4 linked regions of the Pelodiscus sinensis genome follow. The protein of the gene in region 4 binds, or shares a complex with, the protein of the main gene of each other region. Links are inferred from orthologs where the notes say so. Each region holds a gene or a part of one and is shown on either strand. Other genes may lie near its edges. The genes, in order: CDH26, BCL9, NR5A2 and CTNNB1.

Region 1 (7,280 bases), on a different chromosome or scaffold from region 4:
AGGGGGCTAAGGACTTTTTCAGCCTTGCCGATAAAGAGGTAACAAGAACCAATGTCTGGAAATTGATATCAGACAAATTTAATCTTGAAATATGGCAATTTCTAACAGTGAAGCTAATTAAGGGTTGGAACGAATGGCTTACCAGGAGAAATAGTGAATCCAAACTCTTAAAATCTTTAAAATGCAATTTTCTTTCTTAAAGACATGCTCTAATCCAGTTTCTGGGGTAAATTCTACAGGCTATGTGATCATCACAGTAGTGCCTTCTGGCCTTAGTCTATGAAATATGCACATATAATCATGGTAATTGTGCGTGTTTTTTTAGGAGTACGAGCATAGCAGACTTACCCTGCATTGCCCGGATCCTTCAAAGCAGAAGGGTGGTGGTGTGGGGGAGGGAGTGCAGGACTGAGGGAAGGGCTTTCAGGATATAGAGCGGATGGAGGAGCCTGGGACAGGCGGGTATAAGAGTGAGGTCTGGAGGGTAAGGAGGGGCTCAGGAGAGGGGGGCTTTTTTCTCCCCCAGCTGTCCCCCCACTGCCAGGGGCCTTTTTTCTCCACCTCTGGCACTGTGCTAAAGGGGGGAAAGGTTTGGGGTCAGGGGAGCTACTTTGTGTGCTAGCAGGCAAGATAGGAGAGCCCCAATCCTGCTGGTCACTTTCCTGGTGGTATAGTTGCTGCCAGTGAACACTCTGCACTGCAGCATAGCTCTTCCCTGCAGTCTCTCTGCCCCCAATGGAAACTGATATCCCTCCAAACAGCAGCCCATCCCTTTGCATTTTATGGAAAACTGTCCTTCTGCCAGGACTTCCAGTTGTCCTGGAACAACCAAACCCTGACCTTGCTTTTAAGTTAGGAGAAGAGGAAATTGTAGTTAAGAGAAGAGGAAACTTTATACAGGCAGTCCCCGACTTACGCGGATCGGACTTACGTCGGATCCGCACTTACGAACGGGGCTTTCTCGCCCCGGAGGTCGAGGTAGCAGATTGCTACCTGTGAGCTCCGGGGCGAGAAAGCCCCGTTCGTAAGCTGCTCCGGTGCCCCTGGTCTGCTGGAGACCGTCTCCAGCAGACCAGAGGCACCGGGCGGGTTCCCGCGCTTCTGAGGCTTTGCCAGAGCAGAGCCTCAGAAGCGCGGGGAACCGCCGCTGCTGCCGCTTGAGTCCCGGTGCCTGTGGTCTGCTGGGGACCGTCCCCAGCAGACCACAGGCACCGGGACTCAAGCCGCAGCCGCGGGGGGGTCCCGCACCTCTGAGACTTTGCCAGAGCAAAGCCTCAGAGGCGCGGCACCCCGCTGCCGCTGCGGCTCTGCTCCCCGTGTCCCTGGTCTGCTGGGGGGGGCACGGCTAGTGTGCCCCCCCCCAGCAGACCAGGCTTTTGTTTTGGACCCTGGAGCAGAGCAGCTGGGGCGCTGCGGATTGGTCCTGCAGCGCCCGCTCTGGGCACTACTGGACCAACCCGGCAGCACCCCAGCTGCTCTGCCCCAGGTCCTGATTCAGCCGCTGCTGGTCAGTTTCAGCAGTGGCTGAATCAGGACGCCTGGGGCAGAGCAGCTGGGGTGCTGCTGGGTTGGTCCAGTAGCGCCGAGGAGCGGTGCTACTGGAGCAACCCAGCAGCACCCCAGCTGCTCTGCCCCAGGCGTCCCCAAGTCAGCCACTGCTGAAACTGACCAGCGCTGACTACAGGAAGCCGGAGGAAGAGTTGCTCTGCCCCAGGCTTCCTGGAATCAGCACTGATCAGTTTCAGCAGCAGCTGACTTGGGGAAGCTTGGGGTTCTTAAGTTGAATCTGTATGTAAGTCAGAACTGGCGGTCAGTTTCAGCAGCGGCTGAATCTGGACGCCAGTTCCGACTTACATACAGATTCAACTTAAGAACAAACCTACAGTCCCTATCTTGTACGTAACCCGGGGACTGCCTGTAGCCATAAAAGAGCACATCTATGTAAACAAGGTCTTTTCACTTTATACTGGTTTTGTATTAATTCTAGTAGTTCATAAATGAACAGGTGTGAAATATACATGTTTTTATTAAATAATCAATTGACTTTGCAATTCTGTGGGTTCTCTGGTATGCTCTTGTGTTTAAATAAGGTTCTGCAGAACCTTTCACACATGTTTAACTTCATGTGTGTCACTAGTTCCACTGCACTTAATGGGACTAGTATTATGCTTAAAAAAGCTAAGAAAAGCAGGTGTGTAAGTCTTTCTAGAACTGGGGACTGAGAATGGTATCCGGTCTTTTTAAGTGTCATTTCCATAGTTTTACCTTGTGGGAGTATCCCCATCTTGTTTGGTTACATTTTGCATGCAAGAACCTATTTGTGGGCTTGGAAGGATTAGATTTTTTTGGCAAATGTTGATGTCACAGAACATACACAAACTGACACATTTCCTTCCATGATGGTTGATATTTACAGATAGGCAAAGTAAGAAAAATTCGGTTGGAGAACATTCTAGGATTGAATTGAAAGATATAGTTTTTACTTGGCATGTGTTGATATATTCTGTTGACCACCTGCGTTGTAATGGTTATAAAACCATAACTTTTTGACTCTTAACTGTTGTCATTAAATAACTAGTGTCTGGTCGCTCCCTAACTTCTCACAACAAAGAAAACTGAAACTGATTAAAAACCCAAACGCTTAAAAATATGAAATGGTTGTAAAAACTCAAATGTTGCCAAGCCCCCCTCTTTGAGATCGGTGCCTCAGCGAAGCCGGTGGGTTGACCGGAGAACAGTTTCAAGAGCAAAGATGGGTATTTCCAAAGGGTTTTCCCCTAACACCGGCTCATCATCTCCCCCGCTCCCGCATCCCTTGCCTGTGCAAAGCTCCAGCCTCCTCCAGTGCGCGGTTCCCGACCTCCCCCTGCCCAACCTCCACGAGGCGCCCTGTCCCCCTCGCAAGCGCGGCGACCCCCACACCTACCGCCAGGAGCAGCAGCGCAGCGAGGCACCCCATGGCCAGCGGGGCAGGCGGTCCCGGGAACTCCCGCTGATGTGATCCGCGGCGGCGCTGCCTCCCAGCTTATAAAGCCGGCTGGGGGAGCAGCCGGGGCGGCCACGTGCCGCCCCCTCCCTTCCACTGCAGGGCCCGGGCGGGCGATGCAGAGGCTCCCCAGGCCGGCTGGGGGGAGCTGTCCGCCGCCTTGCAAGTCGCTACTGGAGCTGCAGGCAGACCCGCCCCCCTAGGGGTGGGGGGCACCTTGCGAGTCCGGTCCGCGCAGACGGTGTAGGAGCGTGTGGGTGGCGGGCGCGCGATTTGGGGGCACCCTCCTCCCTCACCCCCTTTCCCTGGAGGCTGCAGGGCTGCGTTGTAGGGCGCCCCGCGGCGTGAGCCTGTCCCCTCACTTCTCACCAAAGCGTGTGGCTTGGGGGGGGGGGCTCAGACTGAGGAGGGGGGGGAGAGCTCTGCCCCCAAAGCAAACTGTGGCCATGCCCGTGGCAACCCGAGGCTCGGCTCAAGGGAGGTGGTACCGTTCAATATAGGACCATGCGCTGTCCGCTCTGCTGGGCTCCACCTGGGTTATGCTTTAGGAGAACCACATGCTGACTTCCTGGGCTGGGCGGGAGGGGATGGATAAATAGTGGTATCTCTTCAGCACTACCCACCTGTTGTAGTAAAATGAGACCCCCTGGGTGAGGGAATTAGAGGTGCTACTTCATCTGGTTTGAAGTGGTTCCCATCAGATACAGGACTTAGAGTTTGGTTCAATGGTTCTCAGCACCCCGCTACACAAATTGTTCCAGCCTTGTGCATGTCTCTGATATCATCTTTCTTACTGCTGCAATAAAATAATTAACAATGTTGACACTGAAATCATCACTAGGCCTCTGAGTAACAACTTCCCTGGAAGAATGGGGCAGTTTGCCCCACCCCGTGGTTCCAGGCTCCTACAAACTCAACTAGCTGGTCTCCACATTTTCAGTTAAGGTCACATTTCTGCGGTTTTCTTCACAACCATGACAACTGGAGATTTCTTTTCAGAAGTACAAAATCTGAGAAGCTGGAGAACAACACAATATCTACAGAAAAGTGGAGTGCAGTGCCCAGGCTGCTACCGGCTAGTTTCAAGGGCACTCAGTGCCTTGCAGGAAAGAGAGGTTGCCCATAGGGTGTGTCTAGACTACAGGGATTTTTCGAAAAAAGTAGCCTTTTTTCAAAAAATATTTACCTGTGTCTAGACTGCTGCCGCGTTCTGTCGACAGTAAATCGAAAAAACTCGGCAGTTTTGTTGATGGCAGTAAACCTCATTTTATGAGAAATAATGCTATTTTCAACAGAGATCTGTCAAAAAAAGGTATGTGTGGATGTGGAAAAGGTTTTTTTCTTTTTTTTTTTAAATGCTTCCAGGAAGAAGCCCTGGTGGACACCCCTGCCAGACCTTTCACCGCCATTGTTCCTGCCTGTAGCATCTTTTAAAGGCACAGGCGCCCAGGAGTAGCATTGTGGCAGCAAGCCAGCTCCAACCAGGATCCTGACTTCTCGGCTCTTGCTGGAAGGCACACTCAGAGCCATGTCCCAGGGACAAGTTCCCCAAAGCCCTCCTGACCCTTCCAGGGACACATCCCCGCACCAAGCCAAGGGCACCAAATGCCAGGCACCCTCCTAGTCTGCGCCTGAGATCAAAGCCCTCTTGGAGTTCTGGTTGGAAGAGCAGGGAAGTCCTTAGCCATAGGCAGAGTAGGCAGTTGCCTAGGACACCAGTATTTCTGGGGCATCACTCTGTAGGGATGGACTGGAAGCAGTGGAGCATTTATAAGCAGGGGCTAAACTACTGCTTGCTATCAGACAGCTAAAAGGAGACAGCTGCCCTGTGGGTGAGTGTGCTCACTCCAATTGTTTAGCTCTGCAAGATAATTAACTGTTAACTGTTGACTTGATATGTAAATACAGCTCATGCCAGGAGGGGGAGGGAATACAAGGTGTGGCTATGTAAATCCAATTCAGCCAGGCCTGATGGACGATCAGTGTTGGAATGGAATGTGGTGTATTGTAACTAATTTGGGGATGTTGTGGGGGTCACAAATCATGCCAGCCATAAATGTGGAAACTGTAAAATATGACACCAGTGTTTGCAGGAGAGACACCCTCATTGTAAGAGGTCTCAGAGGAACAAGCCTCCCCTCTGCCATAGTTGAGTGAACTGAGTTGGGCTGGTGGGTGTAAGTAAGTGAGGAGTCTTTTTGCTAGTCTAGTAGAAGCTAGAATCATTGCAAGAGGAGTAACGGTAGTTTGAATTAGGAGTTTTAATTCAAACTACCTAGTCTGTGCTGCATGTAGCTGCGGGTAGGTACTTTGAACTAGGGGGCATTTAAAAATGGTGGCACCAGGGAACATGCAAATAAAGCCCAGGATATTTAAATTCCGGGCTTCATTTGCAAGTTCGAATGCCTACATTAGCCACCCTAGTTCGAACTAGGGTAGCAGTATAGACATACCCTAAGGGAAGCATTTTACATTGTTAACAAAAAGTTTATTTTTCTTTACAAAACAGTGATATAGGTTTTGTAACATACAACAGTGCAATAAACTGTAAGCATTTTGTCAAGCACACCTATCTCTGTTCTCTGTGTGAATGTGTACAACGGGGGGCAGAGATAGGTTTTGGGGGGAAGGCACTGGGGGCATGGGGCACACCCACATTTGGAAGGCCCTTGGGAAACTCATCGGGCTCCTTGGGAGAATCTCTCCGTCAGGGCTTCCCAAATACACAATCCCAATTGGTGGGCTTGGAGGATGGCAGCTGTCCAGGGCTGCTCAAACAGCCTCCCCTCCACATCAGCCCATGTCCCCCACACAGGGAGGAAGGCCTCCCCTTTCCTCTCCCCCAGGTTGTGCAGCACACAACAGGCAGCAATCACTTTGGGGATGTTGCGTTCACCCATGTCCAGCCGAGTGAGCAGGCATCTAAACCTGCCCTTCAGATGGCCAAAGGCGCACTTTACCTGGAAGCGAGTCTGATTCAGGTGGGCGTTAAACAGTTCCCTGCTCGAATCCAGGTGCCCAGTGAACAGCTTCGTGAGCCAGGGCATAAGGGGGTACTCCACATCGGCCACGATGGACATAGGCATCTGCACATTCCCGACTGCAAAGTTTTGCTCTGGAAAGAATGTCCCAGCCTGCGGTACAGGTATGAGTTCTGGAAGATGCAGGCATTGTGTGCCTGGCCTGACCACCTGACACAAACATCTGTGAATTGTCCCCGGTGACCAACCAGGGCCTGCAGCACCATGGAAAAGTAGCCGTTTCTGTTAATATACTGCGCTGCACAATGGGGAAGTGCGCGGATCAGGATGTGAGTCCCATTGAGTGCTCCACCGCAGTTCAGAAATCCTAGCCCTGCAAATCCAGCCACAATGGTATCCAGGTCTCCAAGGCGGACAGTCCTTGACGCAGCTCCGAATTGATGGCCGTCACCACCTGCAGAAAGGGACAAATAGAAACACATATAAGAGGAAATTAGAGGAGTTGCCTGAGCTGATGAGAGGTGCTCCCTCACCCCTCCCCGATCCCAAGAGCACCCCCTCAGGCAACCCTCCTTCCCCACCCCCCCCCCCACCACAGCAGTGAGAGGCCAGGAGGGCTTCTACCATTCCCACCCCATTCCCTCTGCCCGGTCCTGACTGTCCCCCTTATCCACCTCCCCCACTATGGACTGTCCCTAGAGAGTGACTTACCTCCATCAAGACGGCCCCAACAGTAGACCTCCCCACACCAAACTGGTGTTCCGAGCGGTAGCTGTCGGGGGTGGCCAGCTTCCATAGAGCAATAGCGACACACTTCTCCAGGGGGATGGCAGGTCGCAAGTGGGTGTCCTGACATTGTAGGGCAGGGGTGAGCCAGGCACACAGCTCCTGGAACATGCACTTCCGCATATGGCAGTTTCAGAGCCAAGCCTTGTCGTCCCCCTGCTCCCTAACAAGATGGTCCCACCAGTCTGAACTGGTGTCCAGCCTTCAAACTCCCCTCTCCAGGAATAAGTTAGGTGGTAAGGACAGTGGGGCTGCAGTTTGAGTGAAGGGCTCAAAGCTGGGCTCTGAATCCAGCTGTGCCATGAACATGATGATGGTCTCATGAAGATGCAGCAGAACTTCCAGCATCACAGTGTGGGGCCATCGCCTGCCCAGGGGCAGCTCCAGCTCCATGGCAAAAAAATGATTGAAAGCACAAAAACCAACCAGGAAACCAAATGCTATGGTGTCCCACAAAGCAGGGCACTCCAAGCAAGCACTGCAGAAGCTTTGCTGTCCCTCTAGGAGGTAGGCAAGCCAGCTGCAGG
Region 2 (7,052 bases), on a different chromosome or scaffold from region 4:
TAGGGTCGTCTAAGGTCCAGCTCACCCAGTAACCTGTTTTCCGACAGTGGTCAATGATGCCCCAGAGGGACAAGGAATCAAGTGATCCCTCTCCTCCTGTCATCTATTTCCAGGCTCTGATAGAGAGGCTAGGGACACCATTCCTCCCCATCCTGGCTAATAGCCACCGATGGCCCTAACCTCCGCATGTATCTAGTTCTTTTTTGAACCCTGGTCAAGTCCTGGTCTTCACAATATCCTCCAGCAAGGAGTTCCCCAGGTTGACTGTGCAGTATACAAAAAAACACTCTTTTGTTTGTTTTAAACCTGCTACCTATTAATTTCATTAGGGAACCCCTAGTTCTTATGTTATGGGAACGATAACTTTTCCTGATTTACTTTCTCCACGCCCATCATGATTTTATAGACTTCTATCATATCCCCCTTAGTCTCCTCTTTTCTAAACAGAAAAATTCCAGTCTTTTAGTCTCTCATCATATGGCAGCTGTTCCATACCTCAAATCATTTTTGTTTCCCTCTTCTGAACTTTTCCCCCATGCTAAGATATCTTTTTTGAGATGAGGTGACTACATCAGCACACAGTACGAAAGATGTGGGCGTGCCATGGATTTATATATAGGCAGCAAGATATTTTTGGTATTATTCACTATCCCCTTAAAAAAAAAAAATGATTACTACCATTGTTTTTGCTTTTTTGACTGCTGCCACCCATTGAGTGGATGCAATAATGAAGCCAGCAGGGGCTGGTGACCCCACTCCCAGGGAGCTTCGCAGCAGGCTCTGCAGTATAAAGCTTAAATAAACTTATTTAAGCTTTATACTGTAGCATCTGCAGCATGTAACCGTATAACTGGTGAGATTTTCAGCAGTTACATTGTTACCTATTGAACCAACTTTCAACATCCCTGGTATAATACCACCCAATACACCTTGCCCATCTGTATTCACAAAACTGGTTTGCATGCTGGTTCTGACACTCCAATTCAAAACACAGTAGCTCCTGGGAGGCCACAAGACAGAATGGGGTGGAAGGAGACTGACAGTTTGTTTTCCCAAAACCTCTGGGGGAATTTCAGTGTTATCAAGAAACAACTTTTCAATCCTAAGCAGGGCTGGACTTCAACTGAACACAGAGACATACATTTATCATTACCAGCTGGGAAAATCCTCTCCCCTCTCTACAGGGGATTTAGCCTCCTTCACCACAGTCACCACCTCAGGCAGACAGAAGCTTTTGCTAACCCCCCACAAGCCAAATAATCATCTCACACCAAAACTTGGCACTTACCTTTAATTTCTGAATCATCGCTGGGAGTCCCAGTGTCCCTCTGTTCGAAGGAATCCGCTGAAATGCTCCTCTCTCGCTTTCCCTTCCCCTTGGAACCATTTCCAGCCCCATTCTTCAACCCCATGCTCCCAGCTGGGCCAGGGAGCACTTTAGGGGGGTGACCTCCAGTTTTAGGGTCACAGGGAGAGGGCTGGGATTGGCTGGTAGAGCCCCCCTGTTTACCCGGGTTGGAAAATTTGGAATCCAGCTGGGGGTTTCCAGACGGGGACATCACTGTGGGAGGACGGACCATCACCTCCTGCTTTGATTTGGGGCTACTGGGGAAAAAAAGAAAGAAAAGAGAGAATTTAAAAACAGAGATGAGATTGTCAAATCACTCCAGCAGGACTGGGTTAGAGAGAAGCACAGCAGCCACTGCTACTGCCTCTCCAGAGCAAGGCAGTTGCTGTGGAGTAAGAAATGCCTACATGCTTATCTTCATCCAGCTGCTCTTCCAAACATGCCTTGCAAGGGTTATTATCCAATATAGGATCACAGTGCTTAAGGAGGCACAAGAGCAAGCAGCAGGCCTGCCAGATCCCTGCTCAGTCACATGAGGACCCACCTCTGGGGCTTCTGTCAATAAAGACAACGGTTTCTATGTACACAGAAAAGCCTCTCACACCAAGACCAGCTCAAAGTAAACAAACAGGGCACCATAAAGTTCACCACACTACCCATCCAGACCCAAATGACACAGTACAGCTGTGATCACAGAGTGGAGAAACCTACCACAAGCCAGCCCAAGACAGCATAAGGAAAACCCAGCATTATTACAGCACTCATCACAGATTAGGGAAACTCTGCAGGCAAATACAAACCTCTGACCATGAAAACAATTAAACCAGCTACAACCTGTCTTTGAATGAGGAAAGAGGAGGATACTGTCTCCACATACACTCCTGAAAAATGCGGTGGAGGAGACTGCATTAGCTTTTACAAAAAACAAACAAACAAACAGTATTTTCCCACTCTCTGTCCCATTACACAAACTACATCCTAAAACTATGTGGTCTCCTTAGATTTCATACAATTACAGTCTCCCTTCCTCCCTTTATTTTAGCTACTGTCAGCCCCTTCCTTTCTTCTGTAGGGATTTACTAGGAGCTCATTTTACCCCACCCCCACCCAAAAAGGCAATGCATTGTAGCAAGGCTCACTAAGGAGCAGCATGCTCCTTTGGTTGGCCAGACAGCTGTCTCAGAAGCACCCCCTCCAAGTCACTGTCAGCTCTTGCTGACCCCTGGAGCGAAGCATCAAACCTAGGTGGGCTGTCAAGCACATCACACATCCAGTGATCACCTTTCCTTCAAGCTTTTCCCTCTTCCAAAGCCAATGGAGGAGGATGTCTGGCACAGGCAGATGAATGACATGGACGAGGATTGTGCAATGATAATCAGTTCCATGCTGCTCCTCTCAGCAGCACAGGGAGGACTTTGTGTTGGAGTACAAGCACAAAGATCATCTGTGCTTGACCCAGCCTTGAGTAACGCTGCAGCAGACATGGGACACCTCCCCCTCCATCCCAGAACAATTCACTGGCGCTCCTCACCTCTGTGTGTTTCCTGACGGGGAGTTCCTCACTTTGGGGTTACTGGAATGCATTGACAGATATCCTGTGCTCTCACACGCACACGGATGGGCTCTCGTCAAGTTCCTCTGGGGGCCCTGCTGCTGCTGGCAGCTTTGAAATATTTTCTGCCACACGCTTCTCTCACCGCTGTCCGTCCACTTGTCTTTTTTCTCTTTGTCTCTCTGTGTCGCTGCACTGGACCCTTCCCTCCTGCAGCTCCAGCATTCTCTGAACGCGTGCCTCCTGCTGCTGAGGGGAAGTCTCGCATCTCCAGGGCACACTGTGTCAAATCGACCCCCCAAAAAAGAACAGAAGACAGGTAAAGTACATTCCAAGCCCTGAATTACCTGAACGAAACCGACAGGTGCCTGGCAATCCTTCCTCCGTCACTAACAGGGTGCAGCTGGCTGGAATGCCCAGCAAGGAGAAGCCTCTGGAAGGTATTAAAAACTCACATCTGGTGAAGCTAGGATGTAAAATCCCATTTAATTGGCTAACTAGTTAAACATATGGTTTAAATGGTTAACCGATTAAAGGGGGACGAGGGTCGAGGTGCTCCAGCCCAGCTGAAGGGCCCCCCCACCAGTGAGCTGAAACACTCCTTTCCCCCAGCTGGAGCCTAGACAGTCCCTGTGTACAGGGCATCCTGACTCACTGCTAACAAAGGGTGCTCTGGATGGGACTAGGGATGTAAAATTGTGATTAATTGGCTAATTGAATAATCAGTGCAATTTGCATCGACTATTAAATTAGTCGATAGGGTACCTCCACCTTTGAAGTGTAGCAACAGCCCCTGGGCTATTGCTACACTTCAAAGGTGAAAGTACTGCAGGGAGCACGGGCCAGCGGGAGACTCAAGACACTGGCCCCATGCTCCCTATGGCATTTCTAAGTGGCAGCACTGCATGGAGCCCAGGGTCAGTGGGGGATTCCCCAGCTCAAATGCTGTGTGCAGCCCAGGGTCAAAATGGCAGATCCCGGGCTCCACACGCCTGCCGCTTTGAAATGCGGCATACAGCTCGGTCAGAGCAGCCCCTGCTTATGGGGGTTCCTTGGCTCACCACTGACAGAGGCTGATCCGGCCAGGCAGGCCTCCAGCAAGGCTGGAGCAGCCCCCCTGCCTGCAGCAGGCAATGAGCTGCTCCAGCCCCACCAGTTAACATTAACTGGTAAGCCTCACCCTTAAGGGTGAGGCTTACTGGTTAAACTTTCACATCTCTAGGTGAAGCCATTCTCCCTTAACCCAAAACAGGTTACTCTGGATTCAGACAAGCATGGCAGACAGAGGTAGTGAAGTTCACCGTATTTAAGGATGTTAACTAGCGGTTAACTTACTAGTCAAGTAGTCGATGGAATTTCCATCAACTACTCAACTAGTCGAAAGGCACTTCCGCATTCCTCCTTTGAAATGTACAAGAGCTGCAACTGGGGTAGAACTCCATGTGCAGCTGGGGCCAGGAGGAAGTCCCACTGACTCCGGGCTGCATGGGGTCGTGCCAGCTTTGAAATATACAAGAGTCCCCAGTGGGGACTCTTGTGCATTTCAAAATGGAAGCGCCTTCATGGAGTTCGGGTCAGTGGGGGACTCAGGGTCCACCACTCACCCCAGGCTCCATGCTGCGCTTCCAATTTGAAATCCACCTGGAGCCTGTGGAGTCCACAGCTGACCCAGGACTCTGCATGGTGCTGCCCTTTGACCACCACGTTGGTGTTTCAAAGTGGCAGCGCCTCACAGCTGATCCCAGGATCAGTTGTGCGGCGCTGCTGCTTTGAAGTACCCCTTCTTCCCCCCTTTGCTGCCTCTATGTAATAGAGGCAGCAACAGGGCGGGGGAAGAGGGAAATCGACTAGTCCTTAACATCCTTAGTCATATCCAGACTCTTTCATCTAGGTCATGGAAGAATTCATGTCTGTGAATGTGTATGACCTAATTAAGCCTGCCCCACACCAAATCACTAGGAACATAGGACTATACATATCAATTGTCCCAATTGTCCAGAATTCCCACTACGAATGGCCATTACCTGACGTCTTAGAGGAAGATAAAGACTTCCCCCCCCCACACACTATCCCAACATAATTAGCCATTAGTGGAATGCTATGTGGTGGAAGATACACAGGAGGGAAAGAGAAAGAAAATACCTTCCTGACCACCTGTAAACAACCAGTTCATGCCATGAAGCATGAGACTTGATTACTCAGAGCATAGAAGAACACATGGTCAATTTTTTTTTAAACTAAATCCTTTTAACTGACCGAATATGGGAGAACTGTCCATCCAAATTTGCTCAGCATCATACAGGCTATTTAAAAACACATTTTAATTTAACATGAACAATTTTGAGCTTGTTTCTGAAGAGAGGCAACAGGCATGATACTGGCCCATACAGAACATCATAACACAGTTTATTCTACATTATTAGAGGAAAATATTGGAATTGTGTGTTTCTTATGCTCCTTGGACTAAAGAATTTTGTGGAAAAAAATCTGGTTAATATTGTAACTAATATTTTCTGTTTATTTTACCTACTCAGATGTAAATCCACTTAATTTAGAATATAAACATTTAGAATATTGTTCATGTATTATATATTGCTAGTTAAAAATTATTCAAATGTAAATATCCCCATTATTTCTTCTCAGCAAGGAAGAAGCAGTTTCTTGTATGACTCAATAGCAACAAAATAAAATTAACCAGGATGGCAGGCTCTTACCTATTATGAAGTAACTAGGACTTTACGGGTAGTAAGAGGACATAAATCAGTTCACTGATGCATTGCTACTGGAGGATTAAGAAATACCTGCCTCCATATGATCACATTGTTGCCAGTGAGAAACTCGCTAGGAAGGCATTTGTATGGCGTTTTGTGGCTCTCCAGCGCCACTAAGTGATTTTGGCATGTCATCACACTTATTTCATGATATCATATCAGCACCTTGATGCAACTTCAATACAGTGTCAGGACATCACAATAATTAATTTGTAGATCTCAACAACTCCAAAGATTCTCCTCTCCACAGTGCCCTTGGCTGCTATAGAGCAATCCTGGTGACTGCAATGTGTTTGCTCAATATTTCTGCCTTCACTGCTCTGCCCAAGTCCCTTAATGCAAGGAACATTCCTGCATTAAGAACTTCATTTGTATTGGGTAGAGCAAGAGCAGTTCGGAACCACAGAACTCAACAAGAACCACACACATACACATATCTAAAGCTGCAAGGAGAGCATCTCATCAGTTTTTAGGGCAATGTAGTTACAGTGTCAGTGTTATTTCTATCATGCACAAAGGTGTGCAGGGTGCTGTATCATCATATCTGAAAATCAGCTCTTCGTACGTGCCTACATCCCACTGCCTCTCAGTGTCTGAGGTTCCTAAGTCCCTCTTGAAAAAAAGGAATTCACATTTTCAAAAGTGCCTCAATTCCACTGCTGTAAAGTCTTGGGAGAAAATTTTACTCATGGTCATTCTCATGAAACTGAAGTTAGGCCAGGGGTGGACAACAATTTTTGCAGTGGAGCCACTTCACCAATTTTAGTATGAGGTACCAGGACAGCCCCGGAAGGGGTGAGGTCTGAGGTGGAAGGGGGCTGTTCCTTCTAGCTGCCTTGTGCACTGCACAGAGGGAACGGCCAGCTGTTTTGAACAGCTAATTAAAAGGTAGGACCGCTAATTACTAAGGATGGAGTGAAGGTTAAGGATAATCTAGGAATGGCCCAATATCTAAACAAATACTTTGCTTCAGTCTTTAATGAGGCTAATGAAGAGCTCAGGGATAATGGTAACCTAACAAATAGGACTAAGGATATGGAGGTAGATATTACCATATCCGAGGTAAAAGTCAAACTTGAACAGCTTAATGGGAGTAATTGGGGGGCCCCGATAATCTTCATCCAAGAATATTAAGGGAACTGGCACACGAAATTGCAAGTCCATTAGCAAAAAATTGTAATAAATCTCTAAACTCAGGGGTTGTACCATTTGACTGGAGAATTGCTAATATAGTTCCTAGAATTGCTAATATAGAAAAAAAGCAACCCGGGTAACTATAGGCCTGTTAGTTTGACATCTGTAGTATGCAAGATCTTGGAAAAAATTTTGAAGGAGAAAGTAGTTAGAGACATTGAGGTTAATGGCAATTGGGACAAATTAC
Region 3 (7,781 bases), on a different chromosome or scaffold from region 4:
GCAAAACTCTCATTAATGTCCTGAGATAAGGCTAACTTGAGTAAGGGATGCAGGATTTGGCCCTATTTAGTGTTATTTATAACTGTAATACTTTATATTAAATTTAAATTGTTCAATAGTGCTGCCATATTTTACTCCCACTTAAAACTCCTATACATTTGGCCTGCAAACTGTAGAAGTACACACATGCCCTAGCTGTAATTTTACATTAAGGTAATTAAGTCAGTTTAGGTCAGTGGAATTCTGGTTTATCTATGTCCTAAAGGGAGCAGAATCAGACCCTTTATCTCTTTTCATATTTTCCTTTGCTAACCCCCTCATGTTTCTTAAGCTTGCAGAACTGTGGTGTAAAGGAGCACAGGCATCTACACGAAACAGGAGTTTGGACTAACCCTTCCTATGCTAAGCATGTCCGGGCGCAGTGGTCTTTAGATGGACCGAAGTTTGTCCAGTTTAGATCTTGTGATCTCTTGAGCCTCCTTCCAACCGAGGACTGCTAAGGCGACCTGAGAGCGTCTGCACAAAAACCTCCCAAACTGCCCCTAGACAAGTGGGTCATAAAGTCCAACATCTGGAACACACGGAACCCTGCTGGGCCAGAGTCCGCACGCAAAATCCTAAGGGGGGTGGGGGGGAGGGATAGGCTGAGGTGGGGAGAGGTGAGATAGCCGCCTCACCCCCCCCCCCATCCCCTAAGGGTCCTCTCACACTGCCGCAAGGCAAAGCAACGGATCGATGCCCAGGCTTGGTGGAGGGAAACCCAGCTGGTTGCGCGGGGGATGCAAGAGATGGAAAGATGCGCCCAGAAGACGAGCGGAGATCCTGCCTCTAGTCCATACGATCTCAGGGGAATAGCTCCCCCTTCTCCCCTCCTCCCCCCCCCCCCCCCAGCTGGTCACCGTGTCCCTGGGGTATTTTTGGCCGGGCTGTGTCGCTGGCGACTGTGCAGAGACGCTGACCCCATAACGGGCCGCTTTGCAGTGGGAAGGAGACCTAGCGCTCCGCGCTCTGGGAAGTTCCCGGTGTCCGGCCGCCGCTCAGGCTCTGTGCGCAGCCTGCCAGGGGGCAATTCTGGGTCCAGAGCTTCACGGAGAGCAGCACAAGCCGCCAAGTCCGTTAGCTTCCCTCCCTTGGCTGAGACGCGGACCCACGAGAAGCGGAGGTGGAGGGGAAAGGGAAAGGCCCCCTGCCCGGCCTTCTGGGAGGGCTGCCCGGCGCGCCTCGGGAAGCAGAGCTGAGCGGCTCCCTCGGAGTTAAAAGGAAAGCAGCGGCTCCTCCCAAGAGATAAAGATCCTGTTTCAGCTGCATTATTCCCTCGTCCTTACACTGCCTGCGAGCCAACTCTTCAAAGACCCCCCCACCCAGCACCAGACCCCACCCAGGAGGAGAGAGCTCCATTCCGAAGGCTTTCCAGGCGCAAAGCAGCTGTCCAGGCAGGAGTTAGTAAAAGTCCAGCCTCACACTCGCTCCTTCCCTGGTGCTCTGACAGCCCTGCCCCAGAGTGACATACAACAGCGGGCAGGGCACTTCAACAGTGCCAGGTGCGGAGAAACCTGTTGCCTGTTGCTGTGCTCAGCCAGGGTGTTATAAACAAGAGCTGTCTGCATTGCCCGATTGGCTTTCCCGAGAGCTCTGCTTGAGCCTCTGCATATGCAACCTGCACAACCGGAGACCCTGTGCAAGCAAACCCCGGACAGGACATGGAACGACTAGCAACTCCTGGCTAGCTCGAAGCACAGGAAGAAGATGCTGGGTTCACGGGACACAGTCGGGATTCGCAAAGGGTTTGGAGAACTATTGAAAAGTAAAATCCCTCCCTGCCAAACCTGGCACAATCACAGCCCGGTGTCACCCCAGCGCCCAGTGATTCGCTGCTGTCTGCACGCAACTTTCTTCCCACCGATGCTAGGTGGTAGGATGCTAGACTCTCTAAGGAAAACGAATCCCTCTAGGTCTATTTTGTAGGAACTCCGTGGAATAAGGAGAATAAATCGAGTCTGGACATTTCTATGAAGATTGAAGTGAAGTGTGATGAGAGGGCAAACTACACAGGGAGGGCAAACAACACAGAAACATATGCCCCCCCCCAAACAATCTAAAAAAATATGCCAGAGAAACAACATCAAGACACCAAGACACACCATGCAACACCCAGTAAGAGCCTGAATGCAATAAAATAAATGCCTTCCAGTTTTCTAGTGTTGTGGAGCTGGTGATTCCAGATACTATCTGAATGCATTTGAACTTTATAGAGATACTTTAAAATATTAGATTTTATGTTATTTAGTGCCCTTCTCACACTTCATATGTACAGTATCTAAATAAATACATATTAGACATCCACAGTACTTGTGATAAGACTGGAAAATGCTTCTGAGGTGTTTATTGACTTCATGAAATAGACATCGGCCTGATTTTTTTATATTTATGCCTTTTATATATTTAATGACAATTGCACAAATATATTGTAACAAACAATTACATTAATTATGTTATGTTTTGCCATATAGTTTAAACTAGAGTGATAGCAGATTATGTATTTAGTGATTATAATAAACCCGGAGAAGAGAGAGTTATTCAGTTAAATGATCCACTGTTAAAATTTTAAACATGGATTTTAATGCATTAATATTCATGTTGATAAAATCAAAGTGTAAATTAAACAGTTAAGTTATCCCATAACTATGATTTTCAATTTGAAATGGATGATAAGACTCAAGGTTAACAGATTTAAGCAGAGTTACTATAATAGAAAAGCATTTACTTACCAACTGGTGTAAGCCCATGTTTTATAGATTCTTGTATGTTGCCTGTGTCAGAACTAGAAGACATTATTAGGTGTCCTTGGGTATAGGGTGTACAGCATTGAGTTTGGCGAAAGGTGTGGCTTGTAAACTTTTCTGGCCTTGGGACCAAGGCTACAATAACCTTCAGAGAAAGTCAGCGAGATGAACAACAACAAAAATCCAAGAATTCAGAAAGTAGCAAATATGTCCTTCAATGGACTCTGTACTTTTTCCAACATTAGTGGCCTGCCCTAAACCATGTATCCCATTTCATGACAGACTCTAATCAGAAGAATTGAAACTTTTGATAGGTTCGGCATGGTCACATGACTCTGTACAGATTGATAAAAGGACTCTGTTATAAAGTGACAGCAAAAGAGATAAGAACTCTTGGCAGATAATGGCAGATAAATTATTAACTTACAAGTGGAGAGGTGCTATGAAGCACAGAGAGTGGAAGGTTGTAAAATTGTGGGGTCAGAAGATCATACTGAGTGGATAAAACCCAGTACCAATGTAAATGTAATGACAATAAACTCCGGCTTGTGACCTGTCCTTTCGATGTCATCACCTCTTTGCACAGCGGCCAACAAATATGGCTGTTTTGGCTTCTGTAAATACACTTTGGATGGCAAAACAAGCAAACGTTAATTTCTTAAACTAGGTCTATGTATCTGCTTCAAACTCTATTCCCTGGGTAAGAGCATTAGCAAACCTCTGGTGATTTTTTTTTCAGACAAACCTACTTTATTGCACCTACTCATTAAACAGGAGACTAACTCCCAACTTGTTGGATGACAGCCATTTAGTTAAAATCAGACACTATATTCTCAATAAAACGAGAGCTTTACAACATTGTTATTATAGGAAAATTTTGTATAGGCATTATTGTGTTCACAATTAAAGCAGCTTTAATGCAAGAAATGTTCCTAAGTTGTAGAATTTTTTTGAACAGTGCTTTGCTGAAAATAAATGTTATAAGGGTTAGCATGATCACTGCATGACTTTGTGAGCACATCTGTCAGCTGGTCAAATTCTTCTCCGAGGGTGTGTCTAGACTACAGGGTTTTGTCAACAAAAGTGGCGTTTTGTCGACAAAACTATACCTACATCTACACTGACACCGAGTTCTGTCTACATAATGTTGACAGAACTCAGCAGTTTTGTCGATGGCAGTAAACCTCATTCTACGAGGAATAATGCCTTCTGTCGACAGAGTTCTGTCGACAGAAGGCGTTATTGCATCTATACTGTCCTTTGCATTTACACTGTCATGTCGACAAAGTGGCTTGCTTTGTCGACAGAACTGGATGTAGTCTACATACTCATTGTCGACAGAAGCTTTATTGACAGTATCTGTCGACAAAACTTCTGTCGACAAAAGCCTGTAGTCTAGGTGAACCCCCAGCAACACGGTACCGGAAATAAAATGCAACTAACTCAATTTACTTTAATTTACATCTGTGTAACAGCGCAGAATTTGGCTCTGTTTCTCCTCTTATTATTCCAATATAGATGAGGAATAATGTCACAGAAATCAATGGAATTCCATCAGTGTAAAACTTTTGTGAGATCAGATCAGGCTTGTCGTATCCAATTTACATTAATATATTTCCAGACTATTCCAAAAGAGAGAAAACTGATTGTGTTGTGGGCCATCTCTAAAGCTCTCTCAAGTAAGCTAGAGTCTTTTTAAAGACATCTGTGAAATTTGCATCAGACCCTAAAGCACCACAGACCACACACATCTTTTTATACATTTTGGCATGAGTTTTGACTCAGGTTAAATAGTATACAGACCTTCTGGTCAGGACTGAAGTTACAGTAGGGCATTGGATGTGAGAGGTTGTCTGTAGTGGTTTTCAAATAGTTTTGGACTGGGGTCCTTGAACTCCTGAGTTATAATTATGATATAACACCATCTCCCTTTATGGCCTTTGCAAATAAGATAGGTAGAGACTGATTTTCAAAATAGTTAGATGCATAACATAAATACAAAATGCATGACTTATTTGCCTGTGTAGGTACCACAAAGGGGGGCGTTAATCAGATACTTGGTCTCCCAAGTAACAAGTTATATCAATAAATGTGTACATTCTATTATGGTAACAATGCATATGACGTGTACATTCGTGCACATATGCACATATGTGTGCCTACAACTTTTGAAAACCGGGCTCCTTATCTCTCATCTGCTGTCTTCTCACCTATATAGCAGTGTTACTACACTGACGTACCTCCCAGGAGGATTGTATTAATTTGTATGACAGTGAAAGTGAAAAGTTCTGGTAAATGATTATTATCTATTATGTATAAAGCTTAAATTTACATGCCAGAGTAAATGGCTACATTTAATAATAGTGGACACATCTCTACAGTCACTGAAATATTTTGAAGTGGCTTCATGTTTTTCAAAAACTGGAGAGAGATGTGACTGTTTTTATAGGAAAATATTATTTGATTCAGGTTCTGTATCTAATCTTGATTCACATGATGATCAAATAATAAGAACTTCAGGTTCAAGTTCAGTTTTTTCTGCAATCAGGGAGACTATTTATTTTCTATTTAAGCCCCAGAGTTGGGGGGAGGGTTAAAATAAAAGAAATGCTGCAGATGATACTGTGGTTAGAAACTTTCCACTGTTATCACTAGAGACAGTGTTTTAGCTCAGTTGGCTCATATGTAAGAGTGTCTATAAAGGAATCTGCAGTACATGGGACAGATACACTAAATCAGAGGAATTAGAAAGAAAGTCCATGGTTTTGGCTTTACTTCTGTAGCTCCTTTCCTTTTTGCATCAGTATCAAAAGTCAAGGTCATTTAAAAATGTACCTCCTTCCCTCGATGATACATTGTCTTCAGTGATAGAAGAATTTGTGCCAGGTGCCGAGACAAACAGACTTTTAATAGTGCCTGGGCCAATAGGAAGGATAAAAGTTAATAGGAAAACTCAAGGGCATCCTACATCAGCTTGTTAATAAGCCATTACTTAGCAAAAGGGACTCAGGCTCTGACCCAGTGAAGTACTTAAAGATATGTCTAACTTTAAGCATGTGAATAGTCTGACTGAATCATAGGCGTAAAAATAATCATGTGCTTTAGTATTTGCTAGATCAGGAACTTAAACAGTTCTATTCAGAGTATTCAACGGTAAAAGTCCCATTTGACTTTAATGAGGCCAGCTTTCTCTTGTAGTTATGGCACTGTGCAATAATTTTCTACATCTGTGTGCTCCATACTTCATTTCTTCTGATACAAACAAGAGAAGGCTTTTGCAAGGTGATATTTTTACTGTTTTATTTTTCCATTCATGGTCATGTAGGTCATGAAGGGAGGAGGAAAATGTTAAGTAGAAACATGCTTTCTCAATGTTTTTTTCATTTATTGCAAGATGAAAAAGTTAGTGGTTTGAAAAAGCTTGGCAAGGTTTCTGAGACTGAATTTTGCTTATGTAATCCTTTGCAACCATTTGCCACAAATATGGAATTGGAAGGAATTTTTCATGTTCTGTGAATCACATCACATTGTCACTGCATGCATTTTAAAGAAGCCAGAGTTTGGCAGAGGAGATACCTTGCAGTGTGGCTTGATGAACACATAGTGACTGTTAGAAATTGCTCTTAGACCCCAGTTTGAATTTCTGGTTTTAAATCTAGTGAGATCAATCTGGAGTTTACCCCTTCACTTCAGTTTTTTAAAAACATTGCTCTCTTGGTATCTGGTCCATCCATCAATGCCTTTTTATGCCCTCTCAGGAGGCTTTCTGCCGTTTTTAGACAAGTCAGTGAAGATTAAAATTTTTCTCATTTTGTGTAAATAGAAGGGTGTGTCAATGTATGGGTGTGATTAGCTTACCACTGAAGTCAATGGCAAAACTGCTGTTGATTTCAGTGGGAGTCAAATCAGGTTACCTATAATACTCATGCACTAGGGTAATAGGCATAAATAGCAAGGATTACTCATGTGGGTAAGGTTTATAAAAATCTGCAAATCTTGCTTTTACCTCATCCATTCAAATATTCTTTTCTGGGGCTGTGACATACATTTCGGATTCATTTGAAATATATTGAATATATTTTCGTTTATATATTTTATATTATTTTTGACATTCAAAATATTTCATTACCAAAATAGCACATTAGGTAGAAAATGGTGGTGCTTTTCTTTCTTTTTCTCTGTATTTCCAAAAGAGGAAGTAGAAGAATCTGATCTTGATTGATCCACTAATTTTTAACTTTCTGTTGTGTTTCTTATATATATATATATATATATATATATATATATATATATATATATATATATATATATATATATATATATATATATATATATATACTGGAGTGTGAAAGTTCTGATTTAGTCAATGTATTTCCTGCAGCTGATTCCAAATGACTGTGTCCTTATAGTGCAATTGCAGCATGAAATGACTAGTTCTTTTTATTCTCTCTCTTGCTTTTGCATCCTCTCCTCCCCATGCCATAAAATGCAGTATACATTAGAACTGGAAATACATTTCAGACTCTGCCACCTCCTAGTTCTGGGTATGAATGTATTCAAACTAATTTATAGAAAGAAAAAGTAGTTGAATAAGAGAATGGTAACATTACTATTGTGAAAATAAATGTTTGAACCTTCAAAGTGTTACCTCTTCTAAAAGTAGTCTCAACTGTTGTGCTGAAGTGGATGAATAATTAATTAATAAATAATTTAGTTAGTCTCTGTCCCAATGGCTGACTTCAAAGGATCCTTTCAATCAGGGATTTCATGAACTTGGCTTCCTTTTTTGTTCAGAAATTTGTCATGCTGCTTGGAGTGACTCATAACCATAAGTGCCAGTTGTGGGGCAGACTATCAAACAGCAGAGCAGAAACCCCAATATAGCTGTATGTTGTTTAATTAGATTTTACCAGCCTCCTTACAAGTGTGAATTCCTAAAGCCCTATAACAGTCTTACCAGTGAGTCAGAGAATCCCATTGGCCACTTCAGTATTTCTT
Region 4 (7,407 bases):
TTTGTAAGACCAGTGGCTGGACTAGCAAACCTGTCAGTCTTATTCCATGAACGGAATAATTTGGAAATACAGGCACTCATAAAATGTATTTCAACTCCTTGACAAAAATCAGAAGGCGGCAAAGTGGATATTAGCAAAGTTTGACAATATTCAGAGTCTGATCAACCTCTTTCATTTAACTTAAGTCATCTGTATGTAGCATTTGCACATCTCCCTGAGGGAGAGTCAGATTTTTGGTCACTTCAGGGGAAACAAGTACTATTGCTAAGCCAATGAGAAATACACAAAATATTTACTATAATAACTACAGATTTCAAAATTCCCTTTTATCATTTGAATGCTATTCCTATCCACTTCTAAATCAGATTAACAGCACTATTTGTTACAATGGCTGTTTAACCACTGTTCCCTTTTTGAGTGCATTAATTTTATAGCCAGTGTATCTCCAGAGACAAAAGAAAACTGAAGAGAAAGTTAACACTGCATGAATCACTCAAGAAAGCAGGTCAACTGGTTTTGAACCTCTCCCACATGGAAGTTGATATAATGAAGGGGAAGAGGGAGAAGTAGAATGTGTAGCAGGCACTGGAAATACTTTGCAGGTTTTTATAAAGCTGTGAATTACTGTAATACTGCTATTCTTCAATGTGGCACATTTATAAGATCTGATCTATTCAGTTAACACTATTCTAAGAAGTGGATGACAGTATCCAGTCAGATCAGCATATCAAGAAAATCTCACAAGTTTAAAAGGAGGACTTTGCCTCACCCACTCTTTATGATGACAGTTTTCCTTGATAAACCTGCTCTAGCCCAGGGCAGCAGGCACTTAATTTGTAAAACTAAGTTACCTTACAAATGACAGCAACTAACACACAGAAGTAACAAATGCTAGCTACCCAGCCACAGTTACACAACCCTATTTTTTAAACCCTGAATTAGAACCGCATAACCAGATGAAAGTCTTGAGTTCTGTAGAGACACTTCCAAAAAAAAAAAAAAAAAAATCTTGCTTACATGCCTTAAAAGTAGAAATAGCTCAAGTCAAAAAGCTTAGGACACTTGAGGCAATAGGAAATAGTTGAAGCCACTCTGAGTTGGCTACAAGATGTAGATTCTACTGAAGTCATGAAGCACAAGTTGTGCAGTAAATTAACATTAACTGTTGTGTCAGAGCAACCTCTATAGCCAGCCTACAAGTCTCTTCAGTTCTACATTTTTGAAGACTGTTTGTATTAAAAAATGGCAGTCAAACACTAGGCTCCTCAAATCAAAGTATACATTTAACAGTATATTAATGCAATTTATAGAATGGTGAAATTTCAGGGTGTTCAGCTCTTAAAGCTGATTTGGGTATCTAAAATTTTATTTTTCAACAGCGCCAAGCATCCAGCATCTGCCATTGATGCCAATGGGATCCACAGACTAGTGTCTTTAGATAAAGATTTTAACTGCCTAAGACAAGTGTGTTAAATTTGTAGGCATTCAACACATTACTAGTTAACTAACAGAATCTAAGGTGGGTAACTTGGCCAAATAGGACTTCACATGCCAGCCCAAAGGAGATAAATCCTAATACAGAATACAAGCAACTTTAAGATCAGAGGAAGCGGTCCTGTTCATTCGGGACAGTTTCTAATCTGAGCCTACTATACTCTCAGAGTCCCCATTTTACTGAAACCCCTCCTTGACTTCCTTCCACCGACCTCAGCATACCAGCCCAGCCTCTTTCCAGTCACCACTTGCATACTTGGGGGAGGGGAGGACCACAGATGTCTGGAAGATAGGAAGCACGGGAACAAGAGACGACCCACACAGAAGAGATCAAGAAAATACAGCCAGCGTTTACAACTGATTCAGTGTTGCTATCCCCCCCCAAAAAAATCTCCCTACGCAGTTAGCATTGCATAGAAGGGCTTTTCCTCCAAAAATCGTACGGAAAGCCACCTTTTCACTTAAAAAAAAAAAAAAAGAGTAGAGACACTACCAGTGGTTTTTTTTTAGTGTATCAAGTTTCTTTTAAGGAAAGAGCCAAGAAACAAAATTAAGATTTCTGATTTGTTTTAAGGCATCGCTGTCCCAAGAATGGCCAGTGTTTTTAATAAATCGTTAAGACTTCAGTTTGGGCAAAAAGCCCGAAACTATGAACGTAAAAGATGCCTGAACTTTTATTTTTAAGTTTTACATAAGCCGGGGGGGGGGGGGGGGAAGAGGAGAGAAGAAGAGTGCAAGTCTGGTCGCCTCCCCTCAGAAGGATCAGCTCTCTCCCACAACACGCTGCATATTCGGAAATGGCCTAATCCAAAGCCAGCAAGTTCCCCTCCCCCGGTAGGAAAGCCTCAAGACACCTCGCTCTTTCTTTAGAGAGACTCCAGCTAGTTGGGTTGTTTTAAACTCGCTCGGGCTACACCCCGCTCCGCAGCAGCCACTACTCAAAACACCCCACAGCGGCAGGGACACCACCAGGCGCCTCTCCCGCAAGCACAACACGCAGCGGAGACAAAAGCCCAGAGCGCAACAGATAACAGCGGCCGCAGTCCAGCAGCACGTTCGTTAGACTTACACCGTCCAAACAAACCCGAACCCGCTTCCCTCCCCCACAGCCGCCCGCTCCCGGAGCCGCGCCGGAACGCCCGCCACAGAGCGCGGAGCCCCCGGGACCGGCCTCCCACCCCAGCGCCCGGCTGCAAACAACGCGCCTCCCGCCACCCCGGCCAGCGGTCCGGCAGCCTCCCGCGAGGCGCCTCAGCTGCCGCCCCGGCCACTCAAGTGTCCGGACCGCCCCGAGCCAGTGCCCCGTGTCCGAGTGACCCCCCCCCCTCCCACGCTCCGGCCAGGCCCAGCGCGGGCCTCCCGCCCGGGCAACCCCCCCCCCCCAGCCTCCCACCCCCGCACAGCCCGGAGCGAGGCTCCCGCACGCCCGGCTCCCCCGCCGGGCTAAGGGAGGGAAGCGGGAAATGAGCAGAAAGCGCCACTGACACCGCGGGGAGGCAAGAGCGCAAGGTCCCGCAGCCCTGGTCTCCGGCCGCCGCCGCCTCCGGTCGGTCGCCGCCGGACACTCCCCTGCCGCTGCCGCCGAACCAAGCGAGAGGCTTAAAATGGCGTCGCTCGCAAGGAGGTTCTTATAGGGCGCGCGAGGCGAGGCTGTATCCTGCCGCCGCTGCCGGGCTCGGCGCGCAGCATTCCACAGGCACCCAAGCGCCCGGGCAGGGGGAGGAGAAATAGTGCCCGGCTCCCTGGGCGGAGGGAGACAAAGGGCAGCTGTGCGCCACCCGCCGAAGGTAGCTCGCCCCTGCGGAGGGCGCTGGGGGGAGGCGGGCGGAGTTGCACAAGGGGGAGGGGGTGGGGAGTCTGGGAACACAGGCGGGAGCGGGGGCGCTGTGGAGAACAAGGCAGGATGGGAGCAGTGATCCAGCCGAGAGGGAGGTGTGATGAGGCCAGGATGGGGAGGGGCGGCGGAGACACCTTCTTCGGGAGGTTGGGACGAGGCTGGTTCCTTCCTGCCTGGGAGAGAAGTTGCTGCTGGGGGAACAGCACCAGCGTGTTGTTCTTAAAGGGGCAGTAACCACTTGGCAAGGGATCAGCTGCTGGTTCCTCTCAACCCCTCCCCCCCCAACGAATTAGGAGTTACGGACCGGGCTGAGGGATTTTTACACTCCCCTAGCTATCGAAAGTGGCGTCGTGTTTCCCCCAAGGCTTGCTGCGGAGCGCAGAGCTAATAGCAAGCCCTCTGCGCCTTTGCGTTTCCCGCACCGCTGATTAAACTTTCTGATTTGCAACAGGGAACAAAAAATGATCGTTTCCGAAAGCGGCTTGCAAAACACAACAACGACGGCCCCTCCCCGTCCCGCTCACACTGTGCCCGGCTGGAGGCACACGGTGCCCTGCTTTCCGCCGCTCCTTGAAAAAAAAAAAAAGTGGCAGTGAGTCTGGGGAAGGTGGTTATGACTGAGACTCATTCACGTAGGCGGAAACGCGTTCTGCAATTCCTTTATAAATATTTGTCAGGAAGCTGTTGCCAAAGAAAGTATCTAGTTATGCAATGGCTTTATGGGAGAAACTCGACTTTTTCGCCTTCTGGAGGAGTTTTAAAAACAGGAAAATAGTATGAATTACACATGCTTTCCCACTGCATGCACGATCTTGCACATCCACTTCAGCCTCTGCATGCCTATTGCAAACTCTTTTACAGACTTTTTCACTAGCAAAATATGTTCAATATATCAAGTAGATAGTTAAACTATAATAAGAGACACAATTTAGCGAATGAGCATGGATACAAATGAGTGTATTCTAAAAAAAAACCCACACAGCTAGAACAAAACCACGGCATTTTTTTAATACATGATTTTGCAGTAGCAAAATAAGGTTTTTTAACGTACGCAGAGTGGTGTTTTTGTTGAGTTTTTATATGCGTTTTCTTCGTATATCATATTGAACTAGCCACATATCTTTTATAGTGCCTCTTTTTTGTATCTGCACTGGATGTAATTCACATAAGCTCTTTTTGCTCCTATCTGATCGTGTATCTGCTCTTCAGAGAAAAAAAAATATATATACACACACACAGCGGCTCTTTCTTTGTATGCTTAATCTTGCACTAGCGGGATGTTTTAAACTGGCATTTGATGTTGCACTGGCTAGACTTATTATGCAGTCTCTTTGCACGCGCGATTTTGCACCGGTAAAGTATATTTCAGGCAAACAAAACAACCGCCTACATTTGGACTTTGTTTGCCGTGTTGCCTGTTGCCTGGCGTGGGAAAGGAAGATGCTTTAAACTTTAAAGTCTTCTACGTAGGACCGAAAGTGGTTCGCCCGCTGCTCGCTCTCGCGTTGCCTGTGCCAAGGCGCCCAGGTCATTAAGGGCGCGTTGTCACTGGGTCCGCTCGGCCCCGTGTTTACCTTAGGTCCCACCGCAGCCTCCCAGGCTCCGCCTCAGCCATCCCAAGGGGTGGGGTTCGGGGCTGGAATGGCGAGCGGCTCTTGGGTGCCAGGAGGCCACGTGGGGAAGCGAGGCGGCCTCTTCTTCCCTCCCCCTGTTCAGCCCACTCCTCGCACGCAGGTAAAGCGGGGCACCGGCAGAGCAGAGCCGGGGTGGGACAACATTAGAGGCTTTCTCAACTGGGGGAGACTTATGTCACTGTTACAATGGGCTTTCAAGGTATTGCTCTTTAACGGTCTCAACCCCCCCCCCCCCATTTTAGGGCATGTAGCAATCTTCAGACTGCTTCTCGCAGTCATTGCCCTGTGAGGGGCCATTCTCCCACAAGCTGTCCCAGCTCCAAAACCCAAGTCCTAGCCTGTATGTGCCGTAGGCATAATGTGTAGTTAGGGGGCGTTATGCCTCTAACTCCAAGAAAGTACTGGGGGTCCTTACATTAGCTAATATATGGCTGCTAAATATACCTCCTGACTGTTGCACTGCATGCCTGACTGAAAGAATCCCTCAATAATCTCAGAAGAAACAAATAAAAGAACCAGGCGAAATAAAACATTCTTCTCGGAAGGTTTGAGACTCAGTATCTGGCCAACATCCAGCAGGAGGAAATCTCTATTGTTCATTAAAATATTTCTGTTCTAAGCACAAAGGTTAGCACAAATGCCCTGTTAGTGGCATTCAGTTTGCATCAGGATTTTTCATTCTGCATTATGACAGCTTTCCAAGGCAGTATGGTTTTGGGGAATTAGGTTGGATACTAGCCGCAAAAGAGCTTGATTCTTTGTGAAACTCCTTGTCTCCCCAGTTACTTTGCTGCATGACCTTGGGCAAATGAATCATATATGTCTTAACTTCACCCTCTGTAAAATGGGGATAATATTTCTGACTGTTAGTATCTTTCACCTGAGAATCTCTGCAGTGGAAAGTATTGTTATTGCCAAATTCACCATAAGCAATTCTTTTGGGTCCTTGATAACAACAGTAGAATCAGTTAAATGCCCTTGATACATTGCATGGTCCCAGATACCTTTCAGAGTCTCTTTGTGTGCTATCCCACCCCCTGAGGTCTGAGGGGACAGGGAATGCTGGAGTCTGGTTTTTTTCAGGAAGAGTAGTCTGTTTGCTTCTGGCCTCAGGACTGTGGACTGCTCTTCTTTTTGACATGAGGACCACTGGAATGAACCTCTTTTAAAGGAGGTTTTAAATTATGAATCTCAGAATGCCTTCAGCAGATTGTGTTGCTTTATAGTGAGTTTAAGAGGAGTTATAAGATTGTATATTTTTAGTCATTTAATCTGTACTAGATTTATTGCAGAGTTGCTAAGTTACTTTTGTATCTAGGCAGTAGTCAATTAACATTTTGATTTGGTTTGGTTTACAGTATTTAGTCAATGAGCAGTTTGACTATTTACCAGATACTTTCTGTTTGGTGGAGATAGCTGAGAAGAGCCATTGCTTTAATAGCTATATGTAAGTCTTATAATTGCAATTTACTTTAACTTGTAATAGCACTTTGTTTTATTACAGATGTTTCTAAAATACAATGTAATATGGTACAGTATGAAAAAGGGAAACATTTTGTCTTGGCTATTAGAATTCAGGGCTTCAGTTAATTAATTCACAATAAACAATGGAGAATATACAATCACTCTACTTATTCTCTCCTCAATCCCCAAGCTTTCATATTATATATATAGGTTTTTTTTTAAAGACCTGATTAGTATTTTAATAGATTTATTTTTGGTAAGTGTTTGTTAGTTATCTATACTGGAGACTTCTTTAAAAAAAAGTCAAACAGCCTTCTGGCAAGACCATTGTGTATTTCTGCAGTGAGACATGTTTGCTGCAAAAGAGAACTTCTTGGTTAAATTTTAAAAAGATAATGATTTAAATGTCTTTTTTAGCCTTTTTTAACATCCTTGACATTGTTTTTGCAGCGTCAACTTTTAACTCCGCATCACAGTAGGGAGCAGCTCAAACAGAAAAAAAAACGGATAAAGGTAAATTTCGTTGGTCACCTTTCTTGCTAAGGCAATTGGAATATAGCTATGTCTTAAAACACATAGTAAAGGAAAAGTTGCAATGGTATTTATATGTACTCAAAGCAGAATGAACAATTAAAGATATATTTAAGTAATAGGGCCCAAATCTTTGATTTCCCATGTTAAAAAGTAATTGATTTCTAACCATGCACATTTTTTGTACAGATTACAGACTAAGTTATAATATTGTTAAAATGCTAAACTAAAAAAATAACAATTTAGCAACACCACAATCCTGCATGTTGGCCATTTAACAAAATTCTTCCACTGAAATTAAATGTGCAGTGTATAAAAACAGTTTTGCACTTTTGATGAAACATGTGGTATGGCAGAAAAATGCTTGTAGTGTTCAAATATTCTACCTGAGACATAATTAAGTAATGTAATGCTTATTGCATAGTTGGGAAATATATTTTATTAATA

The links.
Region 1: CTNNB1 (region 4) and CDH26 share a complex: the UniProt entries of both Homo sapiens proteins name them as parts of the cadherin:catenin adhesion complex. The link is inferred for Pelodiscus sinensis from reciprocal best matches to the Homo sapiens genes CTNNB1 and CDH26.
Region 2: the proteins of CTNNB1 (region 4) and BCL9 are in contact, whole or in part, in a crystal structure (PDB 3SL9), measured with the Homo sapiens proteins. The link is inferred for Pelodiscus sinensis from reciprocal best matches to the Homo sapiens genes CTNNB1 and BCL9. Residues at the interface, in NP_001091679.1 of Homo sapiens: Leu148, Arg151, Ala152, Glu155, Leu156, Leu159, Asp162, Asp164, Val166, Val167, Lys170, Ala171, Met174, Leu178; in NP_004317.2 of Homo sapiens: Asp349, Leu351, His358, Arg359, Ser362, Leu363, Thr365, Leu366, Ile369, Gln370, Met372, Leu373.
Region 3: the proteins of CTNNB1 (region 4) and NR5A2 are in contact, whole or in part, in a crystal structure (PDB 3TX7), measured with the Homo sapiens proteins. The link is inferred for Pelodiscus sinensis from reciprocal best matches to the Homo sapiens genes CTNNB1 and NR5A2. Residues at the interface, in NP_001091679.1 of Homo sapiens: Tyr306, Gly307, Asn308, Gln309, Lys312, Lys345, Val346, Val349, Gln379, Trp383, Arg386, Asn387, Asn415, Thr418, Cys419, Gln559, Glu562, Gly563; in NP_995582.1 of Homo sapiens: Ser300, Ile301, Pro302, Glu475, Gln476, Ala479, Leu482, Asp483, Tyr484, Met486, Cys487, Asn488, Tyr489, Pro490, Gln491, Gln492, Thr493, Leu501, Arg507.

The regions. Positions count from the first base shown.
Region 1 is NC_134728.1:11,396,985-11,404,264, forward strand, and holds the start of CDH26 (cadherin-like protein 26), read right to left. Parts: upstream 3,014-7,280; 5' UTR 2,960-3,013; coding exon 2,927-2,959; intron 1-2,926. UniProt on the Homo sapiens protein: Cadherins are calcium-dependent cell adhesion proteins. They preferentially interact with themselves in a homophilic manner in connecting cells; cadherins may thus contribute to the sorting of heterogeneous cell types.
Region 2 is NC_134711.1:163,154,923-163,161,974, reverse strand, and holds the start of BCL9 (B-cell CLL/lymphoma 9 protein), read right to left. Parts: upstream 2,977-7,052; 5' UTR 2,933-2,976; coding exon 2,880-2,932; intron 1,942-2,879; exon of another isoform or gene 1,770-1,941; coding exon of another isoform or gene 1,756-1,769; intron 1,606-1,755; coding exon 1,289-1,605; intron 1-1,288. Other genes in the region: uncharacterized protein LOC142820475, read right to left, coding at 2,977-3,168. UniProt on the Homo sapiens protein: Involved in signal transduction through the Wnt pathway. Promotes beta-catenin's transcriptional activity.
Region 3 is NC_134719.1:44,780,291-44,788,071, forward strand, and holds the start of NR5A2 (nuclear receptor subfamily 5 group A member 2), read right to left. Parts: upstream 3,009-7,781; 5' UTR 2,833-3,008; coding exon 2,769-2,832; intron 1-2,768. UniProt on the Homo sapiens protein: Orphan nuclear receptor that binds DNA as a monomer to the 5'-TCAAGGCCA-3' sequence and controls expression of target genes: regulates key biological processes, such as early embryonic development, cholesterol and bile acid synthesis pathways, as well as liver and pancreas morphogenesis.
Region 4 is NC_134712.1:177,510,845-177,518,251, forward strand, and holds the start of CTNNB1 (catenin beta-1), read right to left. Parts: upstream 3,013-7,407; 5' UTR 2,980-3,012; intron 1-2,979. UniProt on the Homo sapiens protein: Key downstream component of the canonical Wnt signaling pathway.